Linked DNA regions of Oryzias latipes. The protein of the gene in region 1 binds, or shares a complex with, the protein of each later gene. Links are inferred from orthologs where the notes say so. Each region holds a gene or a part of one and is shown in the gene's direction. Other genes may lie near its edges. The genes, in order: XK-related protein 8 and bsg.

The links.
Region 2: the proteins of XK-related protein 8 (region 1) and bsg are in contact, whole or in part, in a cryo-EM structure (PDB 7DCE), measured with the Homo sapiens proteins. The link is inferred for Oryzias latipes from reciprocal best matches to the Homo sapiens genes XKR8 and BSG. Residues at the interface, in NP_060523.2 of Homo sapiens: His232, Leu236, Val239, Leu242, Trp243, Leu246, Gln247, Arg280, Gly283, Arg284, Ile287, Phe291, Ser294, Asp295, Leu298, Ala301, Thr302; in NP_001719.2 of Homo sapiens: Trp326, Pro327, Gly330, Ile331, Glu334, Val335, Leu338, Val339, Ile341, Ile342, Phe343, Tyr345, Glu346, Lys350.

What each region holds. Positions count from the first base shown.
Region 1 is NC_019869.2:19,745,332-19,755,183, reverse strand, and holds XK-related protein 8, read left to right. Parts: upstream 1-4,153; 5' UTR 4,154-4,438; coding exon 4,439-4,764; intron 4,765-5,114; coding exon 5,115-5,302; intron 5,303-5,694; coding exon 5,695-6,386; 3' UTR 6,387-7,081; downstream 7,082-9,852. Other genes in the region: serine/arginine-rich splicing factor 6, read right to left, coding at 1,599-1,705.
Region 2 is NC_019862.2:7,111,044-7,120,853, forward strand, and holds the start of bsg (basigin), read left to right. Parts: upstream 1-3,202; 5' UTR 3,203-3,349; coding exon 3,350-3,413; intron 3,414-5,084; coding exon 5,085-5,435; intron 5,436-7,928; coding exon 7,929-8,094; intron 8,095-9,810.

The sequences.
Region 1 (9,852 bases):
CTAAATTTTTTACTTTATAAATTAAAACCCTTTATTCTCTCGCGGGCCACATAAAACGACATGATGGGCCACATTTGACCCGCCGGCTTTGAGTTTGACACGTGTGCTTTCGTTAATCATAAGAATCCATGTTCCATGATGCATTTGGACCACTGCAGCTGTACTGCTGCCAAAAATTCACTCTTGGGGTCAAGAGTCTTTTTCTGAAGAGGTTCAGTTTTTAATGTCTTCATAGCTATAATAAAGCAATGACGACTTACTAAAAGACGTACTTATTTGTGAAACCAACGCTGAAACTAAACACAAAGTGCTCTACATCTCGTATAGTGAAACACAATATTGTTTTTGTCTCAAATGTGTGACTTTAATCTCCAAATTCTCAACCTCTAACTTATTAAGTAATAATGGTATTCCTATAAAATAAGACATTTTTTACACATTCAATGACTATTCTCATAAAACAATGACTATTTTTCTCAATTTTACAACTTTGTCATTTTTTTTCCACGGTAGCTCTAAAAATCCATCATAGAATTGACACCTGAAGAATCAACAATTTATGGCTTCAAAACAAGATGCAACTCCGACGTACTAGCACAGATGGAGGCCTGCATTCGTGCTTTGTTTTCCCCAACATTACCTGCTGTGGTCTGCTCTAATTGGCTGGATGCACCTGACCCAGGTAATGAGCCATGAGCCTAACGTGAATATCTAGACACCATGCACACACCAGGCCTTTAGGCCTGGTATTCTCCAGCCTGATCTTTACAATAACAAGCTCTTATCTCCAGATAGTCATAGAGGGAAGGAAATCACAAACCTAAATATGTCAAACTTGAAAAAAATTTAGTGAAAAAATATATTACCATGACCTTTTAGAAAACAGGGTCTGAATTGTTGATTTGCAAATATTTCAAGATAACGACAAAAAATGTTTAAATACAATGCATCATGTTGGGTACAAACAAAATGAGGGCAAATAATTCGGTTTGTTAGAATTGTGGCAGGTTGTGTAAAATGTGGATATTTGATGTAAACAGGCTTTGCGCTTAAATCTCCAATCTTAAAAAATAGAAACATTTTGAATTGCATTGATTGCATAGACATGCATTGACATAGACAGTCAATGGTACATGCATCGTGCAGATTTTAAGGGCGCTTTTGACTGTAACGGGGCCGGTGAGACGGACGCTGGTTGGAGGATTATTGAAACAGATGCACGAACTAAAGAAGCAGAACCGATCGGATAAATCTGTCTTTAACAAAGAATTTAGCCGGTTTCTGCTCTTTTTTTAAACCCCAAACGTCGCGGATGGTCTTTTTCCGCCTCTGCCACGTCTTATGCTAGCCTGAAGGAGCTAACTAATGATGCTCAAAACTTTAATATATTGAACCGAAAACCGGACTTTAATTGCGCAAAAGAGCAGGGAATTGTTTAAATAATACTGCAATAAGCATTAAATCACTTTGGTGTCGTGTTTAGTTCAATAAAAGCTGATAATTCTGACGATGTCGGCAGGTCCGGCCTGCTAGCAAGCACCCGCGAGGCCGTGCGCGCGCGGCTTTCCGCGAGGCCTGTAGCTTCCACAAAACGTTACCCGTTTTTCAGGTCGACCTCCAGGATTTTTCCATAACCTTTGAAGAACCTCTCCACGTCCTTTTCCCTGGCTCTGTAGCTCAGTCTTCCGATATACACCCGCGACATCCTCTGCGGCTCCGAAGAATCAAAACGCGCCCGAACAAACTAGCTAAACACGCGGAGAAGCAAGGCTGCACAAAGCTCTTTTCATACAATAGGGCGCCGTCAGAGGGGGAGGGGCCTGTTGGGTTTTGGGTGCCCTGAGTTTAGCCTTCAGGTAAAGGAGTTCTCCTCACATGCCGCCTTTCACCAAGTCTAGTGTTTTTTCCCGGAACATTTTCACCGAGTTTCTGGTTATAAAACTTAAAATAAAGAAAGAAACTTTTGCTAATTTCTGAAGAGGTTGTTAATAAATCATAAAAATACTGAAAGAAGATTTTGTGGTCTCGTGCAATCTTTAAAAACTTGGGGATAATTCAGAAATCAGTGAAAGCTGAACACACGTCGAAACCTTTTATGACAAAAACTTTGAAGAATAGCTTTTACTTTTATTCATGCTTGATATTAATATTGACACAATATATTTTACATAAAAAATACTCAAGAACTGTACCTGAGTTGCTTCTCAGGACGAAACGTATACAAGGCAGCAGTGGATGCAGTTTATTTTCCCATACAAAATCACAAAGATTATTTTTTTTTTGAAATTATTAAAGAAAAATTTCTTAACATGTGTTGGTAATGATTGATTGGCAACCTATCTTCCTAAATCTGGGGTACATTAATTATTGAAGACAGTAAATATTGATGGTTTGAGCAGGTATTGTGTCCATTTGTGAGAAATTATGTTAGTGAGACCATAACAGCAGCATGGTTTATAAGGAATGTGAGTTTAGATTTAATAGTTTTCAACATTCACCGAAGACAGTTGACATACATATATAAAAATAGCATAGTAATGCAGGATAAAAGATGCTAAACTACTATAAAACCACATTTTTACATTCAAAAATAAATAAAAAAAGGCCTTGCAGAGAGGGCAAATTTAAATTACAAAACATTCAAACATATATGCAAAGACAGGCAACATGTCTGTGTCTAACATTGTTAAAAACCTATCAAAACTGACAGGAAGTTCAAAACGAAAAAAAGGATAAAGAAACCAATATGGATTCTATAAAGTAACAAAAAATAATATCTAAAATTCAAAATGTGCTGATTAAAAAAAGAGTAGTTTTAACAAATAATCTTAAAGTCATTGGAGAAGAGCACCAAATAATTCTGTCCATGGATAGACTGGACATTTGATTTTTTCATTCATTTGATTCTGCATAGCGCTAATGAGCTGGGCTTACACATACAATCTGGCAATTAAAATAGCACGTCTCAAAATATGCACATTGATTAATAAATAATAATTTTAATACCTTCTCCATCAACAATTGTCAATATTCCTAACTGAATCTTTAAACATCAAAAAGGCTTTCAGAAACCAGAATGTACATTGGATTAATCTAAGGCAGAGCTGGTCAACCCTGGTCCTTGAGAGCCACAATCCTGCTTGCTTGCCAGCTCTTGTTGACCATCTTTCTGCTGATTGGCTGACTCAAGTGATTCCACATCCCGACTAAATGCACCTGATTTCCAGTTCTCCCTGGACGAACTGGAAATCAGGCAGGGTTGAAGCTCTTGAGGATCAGGTTCGGCCAGCCCTGATTTAGGGTTAACATTCAATTAGGAGTCAAGAGGCGTGTTACTCTTTGAAATCTGCCCCCGCTGGTGTTCTGAGGAACTGCACATTCAGGAAGTACCTGCTAATCAGCTACTTTCTGATGTTGTCCACCATATTCCCTCAGGGGTTGTCACAGCAAATCATCTTTCACTGATTCCCACATTAAATACCCGGCACATGACCTTCCTGACACAACCCTGCATTTTATCCGGGCTGGCAACCGGTACAAGGAGACCCAGACTTAGGCCCACATGTGGCTACATGCAGCAGATTTACAAGAATCCTTTGTGTCCTTGATAAATACTTTGTAAACTTTTTGCATTACCTTATTTGCTGCACATTTTGACTGACTCCAAAGTTATCTTTATTTATATTGCTAAATTTTATATTTGTCAATGTTTGATTTTTCTTTTCAAAAACACAAAAAGCTAAATAATATTAGTAATAAGAATAATCTATCTATCTATCTATCTATCTATCTATCTATCTATCTATCTATCTATCTATCTATCTATCTATCTATCTATCTATCTATCTATCTATCTATCTATCTATCTATCTATCTATCTATCTATCTATCTATCTATCTATCGATAGATCAATAAGTTGTATTCATGAGTAAAATGGTTTTATTTGCAAAGTTAAACTTAAACCTTAACTGAGCTACTTGCCAGAAGACTCTTTAGTGTTCTGCCTTTAAATGTTTATTGAACCCTCTCACCCCACCCCGCACCCCCGTCCTAATTTCCTGGAGACGACCCTGCTACCAGTCATGAAAATAAATAATATTTCAAAAATTCATATAAAACAAGTATCTGAATAATACCTAATAATAAAAGGTCCAAGTTTGAAATGAACTTCCCTAGGTCCCGGGACTGAACATATGTGGTGGGCGGGGCTTGAACACTTACGAACCTCCGCCGGTTGTTTTCGTAACCTTTCGGACTCTCCGCCCGCTCAGCTCGTGTCCGGACTTCAGTCTGCCGCAGAGAACCGCTCCAATGTCTCCAAAGTTTGCCGAACTTTCCCGATCGCCCGGGCACGCGGGCTCGGCGGCGCCTCGGGGCGGGGAGTAACGGTCTGGGATGGTTTCCGAGTGTTAGCTTCGTCACAGCAACAGGTCCGCCATGCAGCGCGGCTGCTTCCCCAGGTACTCCTGGATCGACTTCGCCTTCTCCGTGATCGGGGTCTGCACCTTCCTGATGGACTGGGGCTCCGACCTGTGGGTGGCCGCCGAGTTTTACTGCCGTGGGGACCTTTCCTGGTTCGGGGTGCTGGTGGGCCTCATGATCCTGTCCTCGGTCGTGGTGCAAATGTTCAGCTGGTTCTGGTTCGTGTATGACCGGAAGTTGTCGGGCTTCGGGAGCAAAGTGGGGACCAACTCCGTGCTGTGCGGGGACCGAGTGAAGATCTTCTGCCTGCTGCACGTGCTGCAACTCGGCTTCTTCTGCAGGTCAGACCCGCAGCGATACACACAGATCCAGATCTAGATCTGGTTCCAGCTGTGGGTGTTTACACTGAACCAAACTGACTCAAAGTAAAAGTGATGAGGATTATCCTTCAACTAAGAAATGAATGTTAACCTTTAGTCATTGGAGCGTTTTTATTTATATGAAACAGAATCAGGGTTCTGGAGTCAACATGGATCATAAAGGCTGACAACTTCTTCACATGATGATTGTTTCCCAACACATGATGTAAATGCACATCCTTTGTTTTAGGTGTAAAGAGGAAGTCTGAGCAATTATGATTGACTAACTGAAGCATCAACCGGTTCCCATCAATTCTGCTTTCCCGCCTCAGGCACATCTCAGCCATCCGGCAGGGTTTCAGGGTGTGGTGGAGGAAGGAGGAGGGCTCGGAGTATGCCATCTACCTCACGCACGACCTGAGCATGCTCCGCTTGTTCGAGACGTTCTGCGAGAGTGCGCCTCAGCTCATCCTGATGATGTATGTCATGCTGCGCACCAACAGGGCCCGGGTCGTTCAGTGTGAGTCCAGTTGTCACTGTTGTCTTTCTAACCAGCTGGTTAAATCGTACGAACACGATGGATGCGCAGCAACAACTAAGTTCACCTAAACAAAATGCAGATCCCCACTTGCATGTAAAACCAAGATGTCGTCCTAGTGAATTTGAAGCATGTTTGATAATAAAATCGCCTGGAACCAACTCAGTTCTGAAGGTAACCACTGGAAAGCTCGTTACACTGTCAACTCAGTCTCCAGTCCAAAAAGCAATTCAGAATGACCCAACTTTACCTCAGAAATGAATGTATCTTGTCTTGCGTTGTGTTGCGTTTGTGTGCTGCATTTCCTGTTGTGTTTGTGTGTTTTGCACTCATGCGCTTCTTGTGGAATTAACTTGTGCCGTTCGTGTCTGCAGTTGTGAGCGTGGCTGCTTCCACCACCTCCATCGCCTGGATGGTTCTGGACTACCACCGCTCGCTGCGCTCCTTCCTCCCGGACAAAGCCCAGCAGGGGTGGGGCTCCTCAGTGGTCTACTTCCTGTGGAACCTGCTGCTGATTGGTCCCCGCGTGGCGGCCCTCGCCCTCTTCTCGTCCGTGCTACCTTTGCTCATTGTCCCCCACTTCCTGCTGCTGTGGTTGGCCTTCCTGCTGTGGGCGTGGCAACAGCAGACAAACTTTATGGACAGCGCTGTGGGGGAGTGGCTATACCGGGCCACCGTCGGACTCATCTGGTACTTCAGCTGGTTCAATGTGGCGGAGGGCCACACCCGGGTCAGAAGCCTGATCTACCATTCCTTCATGACGGCGGACTGTTGCCTCCTTCTGGTCACCTGGTGGTACCTGAGAGACGCGGCGCAGACAGAAGCGTACGGCCTGGCCCTGATCATTGCGCTGCCGCTTTCTTACCTGCTCGGGCTGCTCTTCAAAGCCATCTACTACTGTTGCTTCCACCCCAAACTGTGGCGGCCCCCACCGACTGAGGGGAGGCTGCCCAACGACCTGCCAGACTCTGAAGTGACCCTCAGATCCTTCTCCATCCAGGATGACAGTGTGTCCGCCCCAATCTTCAACAAGCGCATGGAACACCACGCTGCCCGCTTCTACTAAAAGGGAGGGGCCACACACCCAGTCAAGGCGTTGCCATGGCACCTACAGGCAAAGCGGTCGTCCAGACTTTTTCCTGTCAGTGACGCCTGCAGACACACAGGCGTTTCTATGAAAGTGAACAATAACTCAGGAGTTTGTTTATCCAATTATTTTTTTAATGAAACTCTTGAAAATGCAGGTAACCTGTAAGCAGAAGGATGTGTTCATGAATGTTTGTAAAAATGAAGATTTATATTTGTACCTGAAAATGCAACCAAAAAAAGGTTGAGAGGAAAATATTGGCTTCACTTTATTGTAACCTTAAGGCAATGTCCTTTTACGAAAAGAGTGCAAAAATGTCGACTTATTTTGTTCAACAATGATGATGAAAACATGGCAACCAAACATACCTTCTCTTTCCTTCCCTTCAGGCGAATGCATTTTTATGTCTATGCTTTCTTGAACATTCAGTCATGAGTTAACTGAAATGATTGAATTGACTTGGCGGCTTAGCCTGACTAGTTGTTGATATGAACATTGCAACACAACCTGAGAGAGCGTTGGTGAAGGTTTGCCATGGAGAAATGTTTTAAAGAACATGATTTCTACTCCAGTTGCCATGACTCAACTTCGCAGAGCCTAAAATACCACAGAAGAAATGCTTGTCATGTCTCCAAACCCCCGAAAAGCAATCAAATCCACTTGTTTATTTTTTATTTGACCATTTATCTTGTCTTGAGGTAAAAAACGCAGATACAAAAAAGGGAACTGGTTATTTTGAAAGAATTGGGTTAACCGTTTTCCTGTTGATTCTATAAAGAAGATCCATCTGATCCTGAAGTACAAGCCTCAGAACCCTTGTTGTATCCTATGGGGTCCAGATGACCCGATCCTTACATTGACGTGTTATCCCTACCATAACAAAGGTGGATCAAGGTGGAGAGGATTTCATGTAATCCATGGACACCAGTTAAGATCACAAATCATTGACGAAAAAGGATTCAACGCACTGTCTAGTGGGTCTAAATGACCCAGCTCCCAATGTTAAAGTGCCTAGGGTAGCACAAGGGTTAAGCTACGTACAAATGTTGATATTAGTCACCAAGTTTAGAAATGATCCTGTCCCGTCCCACTGCCATCCCATTCTCCTATAAAATGACTACCGTTTCTGTACTGCTCCCATATATTATCTTAATTTGGCCATCATTTAATGCATTACATGTTATTTCATCTCCTCCCATCCTGTTTTAGAGCAGCTCCGGAGCCCCTGTTTCTACATTTTACATAGTTTACATCTGTGTTTTTCAACCAGTGTGCCGTGGGAGATGGTCAGGTGTGCCATGGGAAATTGCCCTCATTAACTGATCTAAAAACATTTCCCATCTCCAGGATATCAGCTCTGTTTTCATCCAAACAGGCCCTGATAAAACACAGAGTAGTTAGGAATATGAAAGATCGTAAAAGACCTTTTTCTTTCTGTTTATTTGATTCTATTAAAGACACTTTGATAAGAATGACGGTACAGCGATTTAGCTGTAGCTTCAGATGTTTTCGGAAAAGTCCCGCCCCTTTAAATGCTTCCACCAATCATTCTTGGGCCCCTAATCATACGTTATCATTCTGACCAATCAGAAGTGGTTAAAGTCTTCACTTCCTTGTTCTGATTCTGCTCATAAAGTCGCTCAGTTCCAACGAAAATAACAGCTAAAGCTCGTCTTTAGCGGTGTAGCTTTCCGCGGGATCCGGTGTCTATGGAGTTAATTCAGTCTCAATAATCAGAAATGCACACAACCTGTTTCACAAATACACACACTCTTGTGTGCCGTGCACCTTCAGCTCTGACATCAGTGTGGTAGAAGCTGGAGAAAGTCTGAGAGGCCATTCGATTGACTGAAAGCGAGCACGCCTGCTTTCCTTTAAACGGAAATTTCCTTTAAACGTACAAACGGTTTAAACGGAAAACTTTATTGTGTTATTGTCAAACACAGCCTGCACATTTGTGAGAAACACTTATTGTGCATGTGTGAAACACAACAGGTGTGTTTGTGAAACACAGGGTGTGCATTTCCAAATTAATATTGCACGTTTGCGTAAAATTATATTTGTGAATCAGAGCGTGTGTATTTGTGAAACAGGTTGTGTGCATTTCTGATTATTAAGACTGAATTAACTCCATATTATTAAATTTATTATTAAATTTTTCAGCAATTCACAATAAATTTTTCAGAAATGCACAATAACTGCTTCAGCAACATCATTTTTCGTTACACTTGTAATATGAACTCACAGATCGTGCAAATTTTAGAATGTGCATTCCCAAACCCCGTCTCATTTGTGAATCTCCCCGCATTTTTGAGAGATTTTTCTATGGTGAGTATTGAGACTCCCTTCACGCTGCAGGTCAACTAATGTCACCATTGGCTAATGAATGTGTCAATCAAGCTCATCAGGAAAGCAGGCGTGCTCGCTTTCAGCCAATCGAATGGCCTCTTAGACTTTCTCCAGCTTCTACTACACTGATGTCAGAGCTGAAGGTGCACGGCACACAAGAGTGTGTGTATTTGTGCCACAGGTTGTGTGCATTTCTGATTATTGAGACTGAAGGAAACTTGACACCCAACAGCCATTTCCGTTTGATGAACGAACAGATGCTTGACACTCTTTCCTGAATTCGGTTTGTGAGTGTTTCCCTTCAGACAGCTCCTCCCAGAATCACTGATCTTGATCTACTTCTCTATGATAAGACACGTTTTACAACGTGCATATGATGCGGTATCACAGCTGACTCAACTCTCATGAACTTCTTTTATACATCCAACTTTCCTACAAGCTCTTTGAACTTAACAGACATGTATTCTTTAGTTCTTACTTTTCGCTGGATATCAATTTTCCCTGCATCAAATTTGCCATGAATGGCAGTTTCCGCCATTGCTGCACTTGAAATGCAAACGAGAGATAAATAGATATACATATAAATAGAAGCATGGGGGTTCCTGGATAACGTGGTTCTCATTTTTATAGTGTCTTTCAATGTTTCCATAATACCACAAAACTACAAAATAGCTCCATCTTTACTTTTTTGTCTCTTTCCTATGGGTTGGTAACTGCGTCCTAAGTATTGTACCCCAACCGTCCCAATCCTGTGATTAATGGAACAGATAGCTCCCACCCAATGGAATATTGGGGGAATTCCCTTTGAAACCCCAATGACTATGGTGTAAGCGGGTTAATGGCCTTTGAAGTGTGCATTATCAGAAATTAACGCACTTAGCGGAAGCAACCATCCTCCGCTTCTTGTCGGATGTTTCAGGCTTCCACGGCGTGTGTTAATTTCTGATAATACACACTTCGTAGGCCATTAAACGTTACATGACTTCAAAGAAAGACGAAATATAATGACAAACTTTCTGACTAATAGAATGACTGAGTGATGGCCGTTTATTTACTATGGAAGTCTACGGGATTTTGGCTTTCTGGATCCAGCAGG
Region 2 (9,810 bases), on another chromosome or scaffold:
TACCCCGGGGTTTTAGCATCAAAGGCCTGAGTCTCAGGATTGTTCTTAGGAGTGGGGGGGCAGGTTTGATTTAGAGACTTGGGGAGGTAACTTGACAATGTAAATCTCCAACCAAACTTTATTTATAAAGCACTTTAACAATTAGTGATGAATTGCACCTTATTGTGAGACTTTGTCACCATTTTTAAGCTACGAATAAGACCGCAGTTAGTGACCAAAACATGGACTTTTGTTTATTCAGAAGAGAATAAGGATTGTAAGGGCTGCTGTGATGAAAGATGTTCAAAGGTTAGGATTCCCATCATTCCTTGCATGTTCATCCATTTGCTCTCATGACAGCCATTTTATTAGGGAATGAATGTGCCATCAGTCAGTCATCTACAGTATGCGGTCAGCAGGACCTATAGATTCAGGTCATCTCTCTCTCTCTAGTTACCTGCAGGTGATTTCCCTCAATTAAATGTTTTTCTTTTTGACAGATGAATAGAGGTCAAACATTTTTATCATCAAAATAACTGCAGATTAAAATGTGGAAAGCTGAAATAAGGAGATTTCTTTAAGGAGATTTATTTTCTTAAGCTCACAGGGCAATGTATAAAAACACATGGTATTCTTATTGGGTTTTTTCTTCTTAAATAAATGACATCAAAAATGCAAATGGGTACGTGTGAAAACTCCAGGCAGTTTATATTGTTTTATTCAATTCCAAAGAGTTTAAAGTCCCACTTTGATCATCTTTTGATGAATTTTGAAATTGTTCCTAGTAGATTTTTAATTATGTTGATGCTGTTTATACCCAAAATCTAAAAACCTGTGTTGTTTTCAAGAACATAGTTTCTGCAAAGTGACAGAAGTTCATCAAATATTCATCAGAGTTGTGGGAGGGACGGTTTGCCCAGAGCAAGTCCACTTACCATTCACCTGTTGCTGAGAGCTCTCTGTTTACATGCTCTCCTGCTAGCTCACAGCCCCAAGCTAACATTAGTGCAATACATACAGCGAGCAATATCAGGGGGTATTTCAGAAAGCAGGTTAATGCTAGCTCCCGCAGTAAGTTTGAGGCTAAAGAAGTACAACCACTGCTTTCGGTTCCAAAAACAGAGGTATGTTTCAGGATATGTCAAGTTGCCATAGCAACTCAAGCTCTTAACATAACCTGGTCTGGAGCAGGTTTAGTTGAAGGTTAGTTTGTTGTCAGAGAGGTGAAGCAGCATGGCGTGTCCATTTGAAGATGATTTAGTGGATGAAGAAGCTCAGATAATACTTTTTCCACCGTGAGAGGGTGATTACACCACATATGGATGTTGGAAAAATAAACTTTTTTACTTTGCTCTGACTTAATTATTTGCTTTAGTTAAGATAAATCAATTCTAGTTAAGTCATCTTAAAAATAACACATAGTTATCAGACATTTATTTTGCTTTCATTCAAATCAATTCAATTAAGTAGATCTAACTTTGGTGCTGCTGTTAGATCGACACCGCAAGGGATTGTGGGATACCATTCCCTTTGCCTGTCTGGACGGATTTGGGTTTGAGTGTTGATTTTTGACCAAATGTGTTTAGTTGTTTAGCTGTTTTGCACAGTTATTTGTACTGTTATATTGAATCCTTTCTGCACCATGAGTGAGAGGGAGGGAGAGGATGATGAGTTTATATAGCACCCCTACTTTGTCGCGGTGTAACGAATAATTCAGAGGCATGAATATTCCTTGTGATTTATATGTATTTTTTTCATTCATTTTATTGTTATAAAAATGAGTATATCTGCAGGCTCAAATTTAGACATTTGAGAGTTCAAGAATTACAATAAATGAAGATTATTATTTGAATTGGAGTAATATTACATTTAGTTAGATAAAAATGTAAATTTGAGTTGTAAAAAAATATTGAGTTGGATAGACGTAAGAAATTAGGTTGAATAAATTTAACTCAATTACTTGTAACCAATTGAATTAATTTAAGTTGGATAAGTTATATATGCGTCACAATGAAAATTAGATCAGAAACTCTTGTGTTTACTTTGTCCATTCTTTTTCTCCAAGCAGAAACTCTTTCTTTTGCTGATGCAGCCGTATTAATTTATTGATGGACGTATAATAATCTTCATACGCCGTCAGTAAAATCTCAGACTCCGTCTCACTGAAGTACAGCGCTCTCTTTTTTTTCTCCACGCCTTTCCATGGTGACTCCGGAAATCGGCGATCCATTGAGAATGACTTTATGTACTTGACGTGCACGTGCGTTAACCCAGGGTTACCAAGTCAAGCGTAATTACGCCAACTCATATCCGGTCTTTTGGAACCGACATACCCAGAGTAAGCAAGTTCAGGCGGATTTCAGCCAGAGTTCAGGATTAAAGTCAGGATAGTTTAAACATGCTTTCTGGAATTCCCCCCAGGGGTATCAAACCCCTGGTATGGAGGGCTGGTCTGCTGCTAGTATTCCAGAAATCCTGCCTTATCTGCTACTGATTAACCTGTATCAGGTGTGTTTAGCCAATTTGAAGCTTCACTGACAAGTTGGATGGAAACCATGTTGGACACCGTCCCTCGAGGGCTGAATTCTGACACCCCTGCCTTAGAGGAAACAATTAACCAGTGTGGACTGTGAGAGAAAATTGGAGAAAACCCACGCATGCGCGGGGAGAGCATGCTAACTCCACACAGAAAGGTCACAACCGGGATTCAAACGGGGCCTTCTAGATATGAGGCGAGAGCCACTACACTACCATGTAGTCCAGCTTGTGGCGTGCCCAGCGTATTTTCTACGTCAACACAATTTTTTTTCAACTGCTTTTTTCTCGCCTGCTGTTGATTCACAACGATTTGAAACAAGAACAAAACAAAATACTCAGCACTGCAATTCTAATCTTAATTTTCTTTCTATGCGTCCTTCGTCATCAGAAAAATACTATAAGAGCATGTTAAAACACAATTTTCATCGGAGTGGGTCTTTCAAAGGTTTTAAACTTGATTTGTTCTGAAGCCTTCAATCTGAACGCCGCGGTTTAACCTCGCCTGACAGTTTCCAGGGTCTACGGTTCGCTTGTTTTATTTTTTTTAATAAACTTTATTATTCAACACAAATAGAACAAATATGTATGGTTCGCTTACACAAACAAAAAAAAGGCAAAAACACGAAACTTATAGGATTTCAAAGCCACACCCACTATGATGACGTCACGCATACGTGCTGGTAAGGGCGTGTCCGTTAAGTCATAGGAGAGGACGAAGTCTGCGGAGTGGTCTGCCGGCTCTGCCCGTTGGACGTTAGACTCACTGTGGAAGGAGGCTGAGCTGACCGACCGTCTCGATTCTTTGGTCGGACTAGAGTTTCCGCAGTAGACCATGAAGTTCTTGTGGGCCGTCACCGCCCTCCTTCTGGGCTGTTGTCGCGCTAACGCCGCCACAGGTAAAAAAGTCATGTCGGCCATGTTGACTTTGCCCTACCGCTAACATTTCATGTTTTTTTCTGACTTTAGCAGTTTAAATTTCCGATGTTATACCAGCTAGACATCTGTATTAAACCTGTAGAATCCCCACCGTGGGGCTGTACGGTTTGGACACATTGTTCCCTAGAGACCGGTTCTATAAAATCGACGTTTCGGCTAGCAAGACATTAGCTAGTTGTTGTTGGCGACCCAGAAAAATTTTCTGTCTGTTTGTTGATTAAAATGAATTTTAGATGTATTTTGTTGTCAGAATGCCTTACGTAATGGCCTATGTGGTACATGGAATATTTAACACCAACATGTTTGGTATCACGTGAGCGTCCGGTGTATTCGTAATTGCGTAATGTTTGAAGTGATTATCGTTATTAAATGGCGACCATTCGCTGTGGATTCGATGAAAGCGGCATATTAAGGACGACGGTCACGCGGTATTTGTCTCGCGCGCTCCTCCACCGGCGTCCGGGGAGGTGTTCTCGGACTCCCGACTCATGTCCGAACGAAAACCGATCCAAACAAACAAAACGTTCGTGTTTTTCCCAGAGGATCAATCTGTGTCCGTTTGGTACTCTGGTTAACATTTTCATTATTTAAACTAGGAAAAGAACCGTAATTCTTCATCGGGCACCCTATCTTTTAATAGTTTGCAGTGTTAGGCACAAAACTAGCATCTGAAGCATTCTCCTTTAAAGTTAAACCTGGATAAACGAAGTCTGCTGCTCTCTGGTAGGAGATTTTTTTTTTTTTTACACGGCATATCTAAATAAAGCTTTGTTATAAATGGCATTGTCAAGATTGAGGAGTGAATGTTGTGTGGGCTATATTTAATTTGAACTTTTAAAAAAAGCCTTTGCTGTGAAGGTGACCTTTCAACAGCAGGAAGCCATTACAAGTGTAGTTTGTTGAATGGGGGGTGTTAAGACAATAACCAGCATTACCACACCCTCTCAACAGCTCCAGTTTGTCTGTTTTGCCCCAAAGATGAGATTCGTCAGCAGATGACTTGGTTTTCTTATTAATCCCCACACAGGAATGTGGTCACGCTCTGCAGACTGAGCTCCTCCCCTCATTTTCTGTTGTTCTCAAACCTTTCACTCAGATCTCAGATGATGTTTTCTGCAGCCTCATCTTCAAAATATTTAATTATAAACCAGAATGTGTCGTCTGCAGTCTCCACGCTCAGATATGCTCCAAACAGAGCCCCCATTCAGTTGATGAACAATCCTGTTAACCTACTTTAAGTTCCTCGGTCCAGCTCAGTAAATGTGCTTCCTACATTTTTCTCTGTTTACCTTTTTGTTTAGTCATTGAGTGAATGCTCTGTTGCTACCATTCTTGTCATATATATTTTAGGGATGATCATCAAGCTCTTTGTGCTCATTACCATAATTATCTGTTTTTTATTTATTTATCCTATATTGATGTCTGCTTTGATCATTCCAAATTTAGTCAGATGAATCAGTCAATGTGATAAAATTTCCTTATTCATCTGTCTGCTGTCATATTTTCATTTTAACATTTTTTCTTTCTCTTTCTGTATTCTTTTTCTTCCCTAACATTTCATTTTTATCATCCGCCCATTTGAACTCATCACTTTCTAAATTCATCTGCTTGCTGGGTCTGCTGCTAATCAGCGGGTTTTATCCGATCCCCCCTGTCTCAAATGAAACTGATCGATGCCAGTGCAGAGCTGCATTGTGAGGTGATAGGGTACCCCATACCAGAAGTTCAGTGGTGGTTTGTTGAAGGGGAAGAGTCCAACGAGACTTTCACCCAGCTGTTTGATGGGGCTCATAACAACCGTGTAAAAATCAACGCCACATATATCGAACACGCCGCAAGCACCATTCACCTCACCAGACTTTCCCTTGAGGACACGGGCACGTACGAGTGTCGTGCCTCCAACGACCCCGACCGCAATGATCTGAAGAAGACTCCAAAAATCAAGTGGATCCGCTCGCAGGCAAACATTATTGTGATTGAAAGTGAGTGACAGAAGAACCCCGAGGAGAGTCGGGTCAGAGTGGTCATATCTGCATTAGTGAAGTTGTGGACCTCTTAGATCCTGTCCACACAACTGTCCTGTTGTCTGGTCCAGTTCCCTCCCTTCCCTTCATCTAGTGTGTTCTCCCCTCTCCAAAAGCACAACAGCTCTCCTGTAGAAGGTGAAAGTGGCCAAAAAACCTGTTCTGGCTGATCCTTTATCACCCGACGCGAACGTTTTCTTCCTTCAACCTGATGCCTTAAGTAACCCTTCCTACAAATTTTTATATCTTTTTCCATAAATAAAATCTATGAAACACTGGACTGAGGTGGAAATTTGGCAGTTTCAGTGATGAAAGTCTTCCGGGAATTCCCGGAAATCCGGGTTTTTGAGCAAACCGAACGTACTTTCCGGGAAATAAAGACCTGATCTCTACGGACAAATCGCTTTCCGGATTAAAAAATGGTCTGAAATCAGCTAATTTTAGCTTTATTTTCTATATTTCTCCGCAGATCGCTTCCTCTATGGTCGTGGCCATCTCTCGTCTTCCCGGCCTAATTGACCAATGACGGGACGTTTTAGTTGCTTTCGGATGCGTCGACGGGTCTGATTGGCTCTGTCTGCACCACGTGGTCAGCGTGACTTGCTTCCCTAGAGACCAAAACTGGCGGACCCACGCTAAACTTTCACAAACACATCTGAAGAGTTTGCGATCAAATTTGTGTTAAAATAATGGCAGGCATCGTCATTATTGAGCGTGCTCACGACCTCAGTTGTGAGAAGACGATAAAAAACAAATTGAAGTGGTCTTGGCTGGAAAAAAAAAAAAGATTTTTAAGGTAGTGTAGGTCAAATACTTTTTTGTGTAAAATAATCTCAAAACCACATTTTGAAATAATTTCAATTTTAGTTTTGAGTTTCAGTTTTTATTTTGAATACATTTCTTTATCTAATTTATTTGTATTTCCTAATTACCACGATTTAGTTCAGTATAGTTGACATTCTTCTTCTTCTTCCACTTTCGGCTTCTCCCATCAGGGGTCGCCACAGCGAACAAGTCGCATGGTAAATTTGGCAATGTTTTACGCCGGATGCCCTTCCTGACGCAACCTTCTCAAACTGGGCTTGGAACCGGCAAAGGTAGAGAAGGGAACAGGGAGCAGCCCGGAGTCGAACCCGGGTTTCACGGACGGAAGGCGCCACAAACCATAGTTGACATTAATTATAAGTATTTGATGGTTTGGACCCGCACTCCCTTAAAAAATAATGTTTACAATGTTTAGCTTAGTTTGTATGTTTGTTTTGATATTTCCCAGATTACTTAGTATTGGTGTTAAAGAATTGATGTATTATGTTATAGAATTATAGTTTAAAGCAGATCCCATATTTTGATGTAATTATAGTTTGAGAAAACAGTGCAAGTGGATGTTGTACATCAGTCATTTCTAAAGCAGAAATAATGTATAAATAACTGAGGTATTTTCATAGAATATCATAGTTACTGGTGTTCTTTTTGCCATTTGGGGCTTTGATGTTACTATATTTTAGCAATTGTATGTTTTGCAGCTTTAAGGAAAAGCGTAGATTGTAGGATTGTGTTACTTTGAGCAATTTTCCAAATTCTTTTTTAGGACCAGCAAGTCTTTAATGGAGAGTCAAACTAGGGGTTTGAATGACAAATCATGATGCTCCAATTAGTCTTAGTTTCTTGATAAAGAAGTGAATAACTAGCTGCCAGAATGCACCAGAATGCATCTAAGACCACGTATTTTTCCAAAATTTCGCTCTGTGCCCGCCATATCGCTCAAAGAAAAGTTCAGGGATTTTTTCCTTGCCTGACTTTCATCACTGCAGTTTGTTAAAGTAAAACGCATACTTTTGATGTTTTAAAAACAAAAGTTGTTAAATGTCTAGATTTACGCTGCTGTTAGGTGGAAAAGGTTCTTTTCCTCTTACTAACACTGGAAACGTTCCTTTTTCCTCTGCTTATAGACATTTTTCTAGTTTAGATTCCCATTAGCTCAGAAGAAGACAACAGACTGTAAAATATGTGCATCCACACAGCATTTTTCTTTCTGTCTTCCCGCTTGTATTTGAAATAAAACATTTGATTTAAGGTTAAATTGCTGTGCTGTAACCTCTACTGTTTAGCAAACTTTGTTGCTTCTTCTGCATGTATTGAAGACACCTCACACACACACCCTCGTGACCCTTCTGTAGCATTGTTTCCACTTCCCTTTTTGTTTTGTCATCAACTGGAGAAAGCTCGTCACTTGGAGGAGCTTTCTCCATCTCCTCCTTTGAGTAGAATAGGATGAATAGCAACAACCGTCTGTTGTGGCCCATATTTACACATTAGTTACTGTAAATATGGAACGATTTGGAACGGCCAATGCTTGTGTTTAACAACATTCACGTGGGTGACATAAATGGTGATTATACAGCTGTGTATGGAGCTGTTTTATATGGTCTTTTTTTGTTTTGTTTTGTGAAGAGCCACGTATCTTGAAATCTCCTGATGTGGTCAACCAGACTTCTGCCAGTCTCAGCTGCAACTTGACCAGCACTAGCCTCCAAAGTTCTGGATCCTTCTGGACGCACAACGGCAAACTCATTGATGGTTCAAAGTCTGCTTCTGCTACTAATTATGCAGTTCATCGGTAAGAAAATGCAGCAGCTAAAAGCTGAATGGGAAGATGTGCAGTTTCTCTTGTCATTGAATTTCCTGTCCAACTGAAATGGTTTACAAAAACGCATTCCTTCAACGAGAATGTATACTTTCTAGACTTTCTCTCTCATCAAAGTGCTGTTGCATCATCTAGTTTTCTATCTCTGGTTTGCTGCTCCCAACTATTCTGCCTCTGGTTGCATCCATGATGTATAGATGGACCGTGAAGACATTCGGCTTCACTCCAGGGCAAAGGGCGCCAATTTTTTTCCTGACCTTAATTTCCTATTTACATAACAAAAAGGCTTACTATAAGTACACTATATTTGTGTTTTAAGCCGAAGGGAAAAAAATACTGTTTGAAAAAGATCGTATTTCTGATGTAGAAATCGTGCTAGGTGAGCCACTGCGGCAATTTTTAATGACTTCCTGTCGCTCTGCAGAAACTCTTACATTTGGACCAAAAACACCACACTCATGGTAAAAAGACAACTGAGATCACTTTGAAAATTAGGGGTGTAACAGTACAAGTTAAGCTGAACTGTTTCGGTATGGCACGTTTTTGTCCGTGCCCTATACTCTGCACGACCCCATGCAGTCTCAAAGAGCATACAAGCTGTTTTTTTTAACTTTTTTGAAATTTTGAACACATACAAACTTCGTAACAACATTAACGTCACTTCTCTTCACAGCTCCCTGTCTAAAGGCCCGTACACACCGGGATGAATATTCGCCAGGCGTTATTCGCCAGCGTTTTTCGCCACGTCTTTTGTGTTCACACCCAGGCGATTTTCGCTGACGATGAGCCGAGCGTGCATGAACATGCAATTTCCTTCCCTGACATTAGATGGCGCTTAATGTAAACAGAAATACTCCTGTACACAAGGTGGCGCTGCGCAACTTTAGGCTTCTTAAAGTCGCTTTTCACTCAGAAGAAGAGAGCAAGTATTTACGCGCTAGTCAGAATAATAAAAAGAAAACATGAATATTTCAAGCACCAGTAGCTCCAACTGGTACTTGGTAAGGGATATTTAAGAATGTCCGTCATTATTTCTTCGCGGCAGTGTAGACGCTACTTGACGTCTATCTTCTTCGCTGGTATGTGTGCTCAGCAAGGCAGTTTTGTGTTTGAGCGCCCCCAAGTTGTGTTTTACTGTAACTTCAGAAGCCCCAGACACGTGTGCAAAAGCGCCATTCTCATTGGTCGAATAGATGTCGCGTCGAAAAAACAAACAAACCCGAGGCGTTTTTTTTTTTGACGCTTTGACGCGTGGCGTTTTTTCGCGTCGGTGTGCACACTCACATTGGTGCCCTTTGTTTATTCACGAGGCGTTAAACGTCCCGGTGTGAACGGGCCTTTATGGTGAGGGATTCAACACACAAGATACCACACTTCCTATGAGTCTTAGTGGCTATAGGCGGGGCTAACCCCCAGGTCGCCACAGTATTATCCTTGCACAGAGGCGCAACTAATGTTAGCCGTGAGTTTCTGCAAAGATGCTATTAGGTGACGGACAGTAAGCATGTCAACATATGGCTAATGCAGATGTGAGGCCAGAGATGAGCACCCCCCCCCCCCCCCCCCCATCTCCTTACGCTCCCCGGTGTGGGAGCACTTTGGCTTTGTTTTCAGCATCCATGAAAGGAAAAGACAATTGGATAAGTCGAATGCTGTGTGTTGACATTGTTATACAAAGATGGCGTATGC